Linked DNA regions of Solanum lycopersicum. The protein of the gene in region 1 interacts with the protein of each later gene in a pairwise test. Links are inferred from orthologs where the notes say so. Each region holds a gene or a part of one and is shown in the gene's direction. Other genes may lie near its edges.

Evidence for each region.
Region 2: the proteins of cleavage and polyadenylation specificity factor subunit 2 (region 1) and flowering time control protein FY interact in binary tests that used the Arabidopsis thaliana proteins (3 or more experiments, as listed by UniProt). The link is inferred for Solanum lycopersicum from reciprocal best matches to the Arabidopsis thaliana genes CPSF100 and FY.

The regions. Positions count from the first base shown.
Region 1 is NC_090802.1:3,729,276-3,733,103, reverse strand, and holds part of cleavage and polyadenylation specificity factor subunit 2, read left to right. Parts: coding exon 1-68; intron 69-1,731; coding exon 1,732-1,830; intron 1,831-3,828. UniProt on the Arabidopsis thaliana protein: CPSF plays a key role in pre-mRNA 3'-end formation, recognizing the AAUAAA signal sequence and interacting with poly(A)polymerase and other factors to bring about cleavage and poly(A) addition. Required for antisense-RNA-mediated gene silencing.
Region 2 is NC_090807.1:57,365,134-57,368,961, forward strand, and holds part of flowering time control protein FY, read left to right. Parts: intron 1-958; coding exon 959-1,048; intron 1,049-3,499; coding exon 3,500-3,585; intron 3,586-3,828.

The DNA.
Region 1 (3,828 bases):
TTGATGAAGGATCAGCTAACCTAATCCTTGATACAACACCCTCTAAAGTTGAATCTTCTGAGTTAACAGTAAGTTTCACTTTGATTTTTGATTTATCTTTTACCCTAATCAGACTCTAGCTAAAGGCTGGAAGGTGAATTTACCTGAAAGCCGCTCTAACATATCAGAGAGTATAATCTTAATTACAATGCAGTGACTAAAGTCTAAACAGTCTCTTCAAAATAAACAACTGACATTAAAATAGATTCATCTAATTTTGGTATCATGCTAGAGCAGGCCTGTTATTTGCTTTTTTAGTTTTCTTCTTATCAAAGTCAAAACCACTTCCCATCTTAGTGTAGAATTCTATGTTGCAATGCAGGGACTAAATAGTCCCTTCAAATTGGACAAATGACAACAGAATAGAGCAACCAAATTCTGTTCCATGCTAGAATACGGCCGTTATTTTCTTATCAAAGTTTAATGCACTTGATGCTCTGCTGTTACCTTTTCAAAAATTGCTTCAGGCCTGCGATGGTTTCGAAATGAGAAGTAAAAGATTATGTTTTTTCTCGAATATCTTGTTGAGCATTGAATTACTCCCTGTCCCAAATTTTTGGGCTTTAGCAATGTTTGGAGAATCACACGGTTTTTTTTTTGACTAAGATTTCTCAATTGTTTTAAAAATTCTCTCGTTATGAAAATTGTGATTTACAGTATTTGGGTATAATTTTATTTCAATGACTTTGAGAAATCAATATCCTAATTCACTCTGTAGCTTAGACAGATTGACACTCATACTTCAAACCCTCACATTATATCAGTGTTATCAAAGGCGCGCTTATGCTCTGAAGCGAGGCTCAAAACGTGTTGAGCGCTTCACCTCGCTTTATGTGCGCTTCAGCGTCATTATCAAGGTTCTAAGGCAAACGTTTCCTTGCCAATGAGCCTCTTATGAAGAAGTGACACTAAATAATTGATATTTCACTTTATCATAATTTATTTTCAATTTCTTTGGACATATATTTGTCATTCATGTTTATAGTTATTAGTCTTTGACTAAATATATATATATTTGTATTCTTTTCTCTCTTTGCGCTTTTTTCATTAAAGCCCACGCTTTATTTGCGCTTAAAGCCCTCATGGACCTTAGAGCTTTATTGTGCTTTTTGCCTTTGATAACACTTCATTATATTGGACGGAGGGGGTATATGATTAGTCCTAGTTGGAAGTCATCTTGACTTTCAATTGATGCATCTTCAAAATCTCTGAATCTGAATTGACTCTTTACTTGCAAAATTGGCTCTTAAAAATGTCGCTTCAGTTGTGGAAATGTTAAATGTCACTTAGATATTGACATGTATTCCAGATATTCTGAAGCTCTAGTTTTGATGATCCATCCTTTGTGGTGTCACAAAGATACAGTTACATCCACTATTTAACCTTAAAAAAGAAGTCCTTTTTAGACAATCTGCCTTACCAGTCATCACCTATCTCAAAAGAATTGGAGCAGTTCGTCATTTTTTTGTCAATACGCTCAGCATTAGACCAACATCAAATTGATTATAGTATCCATGCTATAGCGTCAATTCGGATGGTGTGCTGCTATCTTTTCGTTCTTATATTTATTTTTTTCTGATTGCACTTGCTCATCAGCAAACATTCATGATGTTAATTACTGAATATTTTGATTAGCATCCTTATAATATGTTTTCCTTTCAATTTTCTTGCTCCCTTTTTTTCCTTTCACAGGTCCAAGTCAAGTGTTCCTTGTTATACATGGACTTCGAAGGTCGTTCTGATGGTCGTTCAATCAAATCAATTCTTGCTCATGTTGCGCCCTTAAAGCTTGTATGAAGTTCTTTCCTTAACTGATATTACTAAATATGCTGACTTAATATAAACGGGAATCATGTTTTCTTTCATGCATTTTTACCATCTTTTCATAAGTAGCTATATCAGTAATAACACAATCGTTCTTGTGTGTTTTACAAGATGTTGACAGTTCCATCTCTTGTATGAGGCTCTCATTTTTCTGTGGTAATTAGTATTTAGTTGATAAATTTTGCATCTATGACGGATATTCACACACTTTCAGGCTTTTCTTAATCAACTAGTATTCAAAGGAAAAAATATATTCCTCATGCATGCTCTGAATATATTTTTGGCATAGTTGGATAATAGGCTTTCTTCTAACCTGAAGAATGAATTTCCAGTAATAAAGTGATCTGATTTTTTTTCGATAATGCCAACAGTTAATCTATATATTCACAGGTATACTACATCAAAATATGTAGTCCCCTTTCACAAGTATTACTACAACTTACAACTTGAACACCTATCTATTGTTTTCCTATAAATAATCTACAACATCACAGGTATCTTCTGTTTGATCTAATAGTTTCTGTTTTCACCAAAAATAAAATAGAGCTAAGCAATTCATTTGAAACTTCTGCAAGTTGGTCTGCTTGTCCACCAAATACATGCAGGGAAAATCTACTTCATTTTTTGCTTCCTTGACATCCTTGTTCCAGCAGCTTAACACTCCTTTTATGTTCCCTGGCTTCACCCACCTAATCTTCATCAGACAGACGAACATCTTCCACAGCTGGTCTGTCCACATACAATGTAAAAACAGATGGTTGATTGTCTCAGCTTGTTCCCCACATAGAAAAAATGTAGAGCATAGTTGAAAGTCTCTCTTATCCAAGTTCTCATTTGTCAATGCTGCGTCCTTTACCAGAAGCCAAGTAAGACAGTTCACTTTATAAAGAACTTTTGATTTTCCGGATCATCTTCCATGACCAATCTTCCTCCTGAAATATTTTGGTGATTCATTGGGTTTTCTTAAAAAAAAAGAGGATATTGCATCTTTATACTTGTGGGACCGGAGAATGCTTGTTTTAGTAAAACTGGGGATTCTATTCTTCTGATCTAACACTTCCATAAGCTTAAGGACAGCTAGTTCTGTGTGGTATAGCTTCATCCTTACAAGTTAAATTTTTATTTCTTATCAAAAAGACTTGTGAAACGCTTAACATACATTGGCAGAGAGTTTTGTTTGACATTATTAAACTACTTCAGAAGAAAATTATGTTTGTTTCCTCCAACCCCCACTTTGCCACCTTTAGAGGAAAAAGAAAGGCATTTCTATCCAACCTTTCCCGGTGAGTCAACTAACCTTGCTGGCCTTTGTTCTCAATCTGCTGAGGAAGTGGAAAGCAAAAAAGAAAGAAGACCTATAGCTCACATGTATTAAGTGTTCACTGCTATTGACCAAGCTTTTATCGTAGATGCAAAGGATATCTTTTTCACCTCAGTGCCACTCGTAGCTACTTTTTTACTTAAAGAAGCAAAGGATATCTTTTTCACCAATGTTGTATTGCGAACAATTCGAGTCGAAATTTTTGAAAGTCTCACATAATTGACTTAAATTTCCTGCAAAGACTTTGATTTTAGTTTTTTTATTTTCACTTTAAAGCTAAAATGATGACTGATTATCCTTAGTCTGAAAAATTCTGGAAATGAGGGTTATAGTTGTGGAAGCAATGGTAATAGCGTCTGCAAGGGACTAATTGAATCCATTCTGTCCTCCATTTGAAAAAAAAGAAGTGATGCATCGAATTATGATAAGAGGATGTGACCTAGTGATCAATGAAATGGTTGAGAACCTTGAAGTCTCAGGTTCAAAACTCAACGAAGAAAAAAAACATAAGGTGAATCTTCCAATTTGTCCTAGCCTGGTGGACGGAGTTACCTGGTGGTACTATGGGAGGTGGTAAGTATCCCGTGGAGTTAGTTGAGGTGCGCGAAATCTGGCCCGGGCACCACGGTTATCAAAAAACTAAA
Region 2 (3,828 bases), on another chromosome or scaffold:
TGAAATAGACAGGATACCTAGCTATCGGTTGAGGAAGTGTTGCTAATTGCTCTGTCATAACATTACTCTTTTGTTTATATTCTTTTGCAACCATTTACTAAAATTGAAGTGTGGTACTCCTTCCACTTCTTTGGCTGGATTCGAGTTGGGATGATTGTCAAAGGACAATTCAGGATGAATGTCATAGCTAGTGGCTTAGACTTATCAAGAAACTTATGGGATAATAAGTCTAGGTTAAGAGTGAATGAAAGTTTAAAATATGAACTTGCCCTTTTCTAAAAAGAGATAGATGTACTTAAACTAACTTGAATCAATTTTATGATCTTACTTATTTCTAATCTTTGTGAAATACTTCAACCGTTCCAGGCAACAAGAAGTTGTAGATAAGAGAAGGAACTTTGTTTCCACTTCTAATGCTCCTCTTAGCATGTATCTTTACTTCATCAAGCATTCTGATCTTAAATAAAACCAAAACAGTGGGGATACATGGTTGTTGTATGTGAATCTGGTGCTATGGTTCTTGAGCAATTGCCCTTTTCTCCTAGGAAGGTGTCAATTCGATGCGATGAGTTCAGGATCGTTCTGGGAAAAATCATCTCCTTCCACTCAAATTCCTTTTTTATTTGCTTTTCCTGTAAGAGGGAGGCTTGTTTTTTTGGTCATATGCATTATTTGCCCTAGTTATTGAATAAAAACATTTTTTTCCCTTTCTGTTCAAACAAATAAGTTCTTTCTACCTAGTATTGAGCAGTGCAGTATCATCCTACAGTTTCTGTGACTGGGGAATAAAAGAGCTCTCTGGACTACTTAGTCTGTCATCCAAACATGTGATGAGATAGTCCAGAATATGATTTCACTTGCAAAATGAAACTTTTAATCAAATCAAATCCCCCTATTATCAGTGATTGGGTAAGTTCTAATATATTTTTCTCTCGTCTTTTTGATGCTCTACCCACAGGCATGAAGCTCCTCAAGTAGAAATCACAAATGCACATGAAACTGGTGTTTGGGATCTTGCGTGGCACCCCATTGGCTATCTCCTTTGCAGGTTATACTGCATTTTCTTGAACTGCAGCTCTGTAGTTATGTGCCATTTATTACACTAGTACTGCTTTCCAGTTGCAGAAAACAATTGTTAGGATTCTTCTCATAACTGGTGTGCTTTTCTTCTGTGCCTTGTCCCATATTTAAATATATTGGTCAATTCATTTTGGGTGTTGCTGGATATTCTTTTGAGGTTTTTCATTTTATTGTTGCTTGGATCTATATGGTGCTGAATTTGCTGCTTTACCATGACAATATAAGCTGAAGCTAATTCCAAAAGCATGTTTAGTATTCACCCTGCAATTCTATGCCCCAGTAAGAACACAGAGCCCCAGTAAGAACACAGAGCATTCCCAAAGTACTCCTTTTCCAATTTTCTAATAGAATACCTTCTGCAAATTCTGTTTGATTTTGCTCTTTTCAGTTTTTTATTTTTATTTTAAACTGGTAATTCTGTGCGTGTGTGTATTATATTATATATTAAAAGAATCAAAACAGTACTTAGGTAGTACTGAAACCATATTTACATTAGAGCTCTCAAATTCTTTTGTCCCCTATCTATAATGAATCTAAAACATCAATGATAGAAATATTATTATTTTAGTATATCTGATTAAACCAAAAACACAAAAGTAGGATGGAGTTCAACTTGATATTTTGCACACCATTCTTTATATTCTCAAAGCATCTTATCTCCTTCCAAATAGTCCACTAAATGCAGGCATGGACAATTCTCCATCTACTCCCATCCTTTGCCCGTAAGCCTGTTTACTCGCAACTTTTTAGAGCTTCTGTGACCTTTTCAGGAATAATTCAGGATGTCTTTTAAGTTACCAAGTTCAAAAAAAATAAATTCAGGATGTCTTTTTGAGGTTTAAAATAATTCTCCATTATTGTGCCGTGAAATTACGATGTAGAAGAAACGGTTAACTGTCTCTGCTGTTTCTTTACGCAAATAACATCTTGAACATAATGGAATCCCTCTTCTCGACAGATTAGCCAGTGTAAGGGCTGCTTCTTTAACTAGTAGCCACACAACATAGACTACTTTGTGAGGGACTTTAGTCTTCCAGGATGTGTTTCCATGTCCAACTGGGTTGGTTGGAGTGATCCATCATTTTGTAAGCTGCATTTGCCTAGAATAGTTTCCTTTCTACCATAATACATCTCCACTTGTCTGTAGCCCAAACTGCTCAATTACACTAAAGAAATCAGCCACTCTTAGCAATTCCCAATCATTGATTTGTCTTCTGAAAATGATGCTCCATCCTTGAAGTGTCCTCATTTCTGCTATAGACCTTTGCTGATGAAGAACTAGTTGAAGATATCTGGAAAGGCCATTTCCAGATTGCTTACCTCATGCCAGTTGTCCTTCTGAAAGTTAATTGTAATCTTATATGTTTATTCTTTCCACATAATGGCTATGGATTTAGATTGTCCCTTCTCGGTTTGCCTTCTATCCACTCTAAGAAGTCTATCAGTCGATGGTTGTGGGGATTAAAGCTTCTGCTGTACTAATTCTTTCTTGAATGTGAAGGTTTCTTTTGTGCGGGCTCTCAACTTTTTCTTTATCCAGTAAATTTATGTTTCCATAAGAAGTCTGCTGCAGATTTAAATCATAGGGTAGATGGTTGTCTGTAGCTTTGTTGTATGCTCATCTCAACTATGGCCCTCACTTTAGTAGCTTCTTTTTCCATGTATGTTGGCTCTAACTCCCTTCTACAGAACTTATCAAGCATATGTACAAATACAATTAGCGATAGTAATAGTTCCTCCATTTTATGTTATTTTGAGATAGTAATAGTTGTGTATATCAAAACCATTACATTTGTGTACTAAAACCATATTTACAAAGGAAGAATACTGTCAGCTGTCCTTGCAAAATCGAGGATTTCTATGATTGAAACTATATCTTCTATGTAAATCTGTTTACACCTAAAACAAAAAGAGTCTAATGCAATTCAATTGATCTTCTGTATTGAATGGCTACTGTCCTCAACATTTCAAGTTCCTCTCTTTCCAGATTGTCCACCAGATGAAACTTGCAAGCTGGTATAGTCTATCTATGTATAGACTTTGTCATTTCATTTAAACCTTTCTTGGCAGGTGACTTTGTGGGTGCTTACTTGCATTTTAAGCCTCATTGTGTTTATGTTGATTCAAATCCTGCACAGCCTCCACAGGCTGGAATAAAATTTGTTCCCTCCCTCTCTATCTTCGTGTGTGTGTGAGGGGAATTGTGTGTTTTGTACTGTAAATTGTATGTCATTGCCTTCTAGCGGCTGGTTCTGGCCTTTCTTGCTGTGTTATTTTGTTTCTTATCCTCCCTAGTACTGTGGATATCCTAAGGCCTTCCCAACTAGGTATTCTGCCAACAGGAATAAAATTTCTCACTTTAAAGCGTACAACTGGAGTAACCTAACCGGGTAACTAATCAGTCTTTTTGCTGGTGCAGCGGTAGTAATGATCAGACAACAAAGTTCTGGTGCAGAAATAGGCCTGGGGACTCCGCTCGTGATAAATTCAATTTAGGACAACAAGGTGTTTACTAATTCCTGTTCATGCAGTTGTTATTTTTATTTTTTTTATGCTATTGTTTTAGTGTACTTCAGATTGTATACAAGTTTATTGTTCATATGTTTAGATAAGGGGGCTGTGGGCTTTGTAGACCTGGGCAAAAATCAGCTTCGTTTTAAAGAAATTTCTTGAAAGATTATCAATTTTTTTTTCATTGGCACGTAATAGTCTTAGTTTGACTATCACGTTGAACTACCAAACTATAGT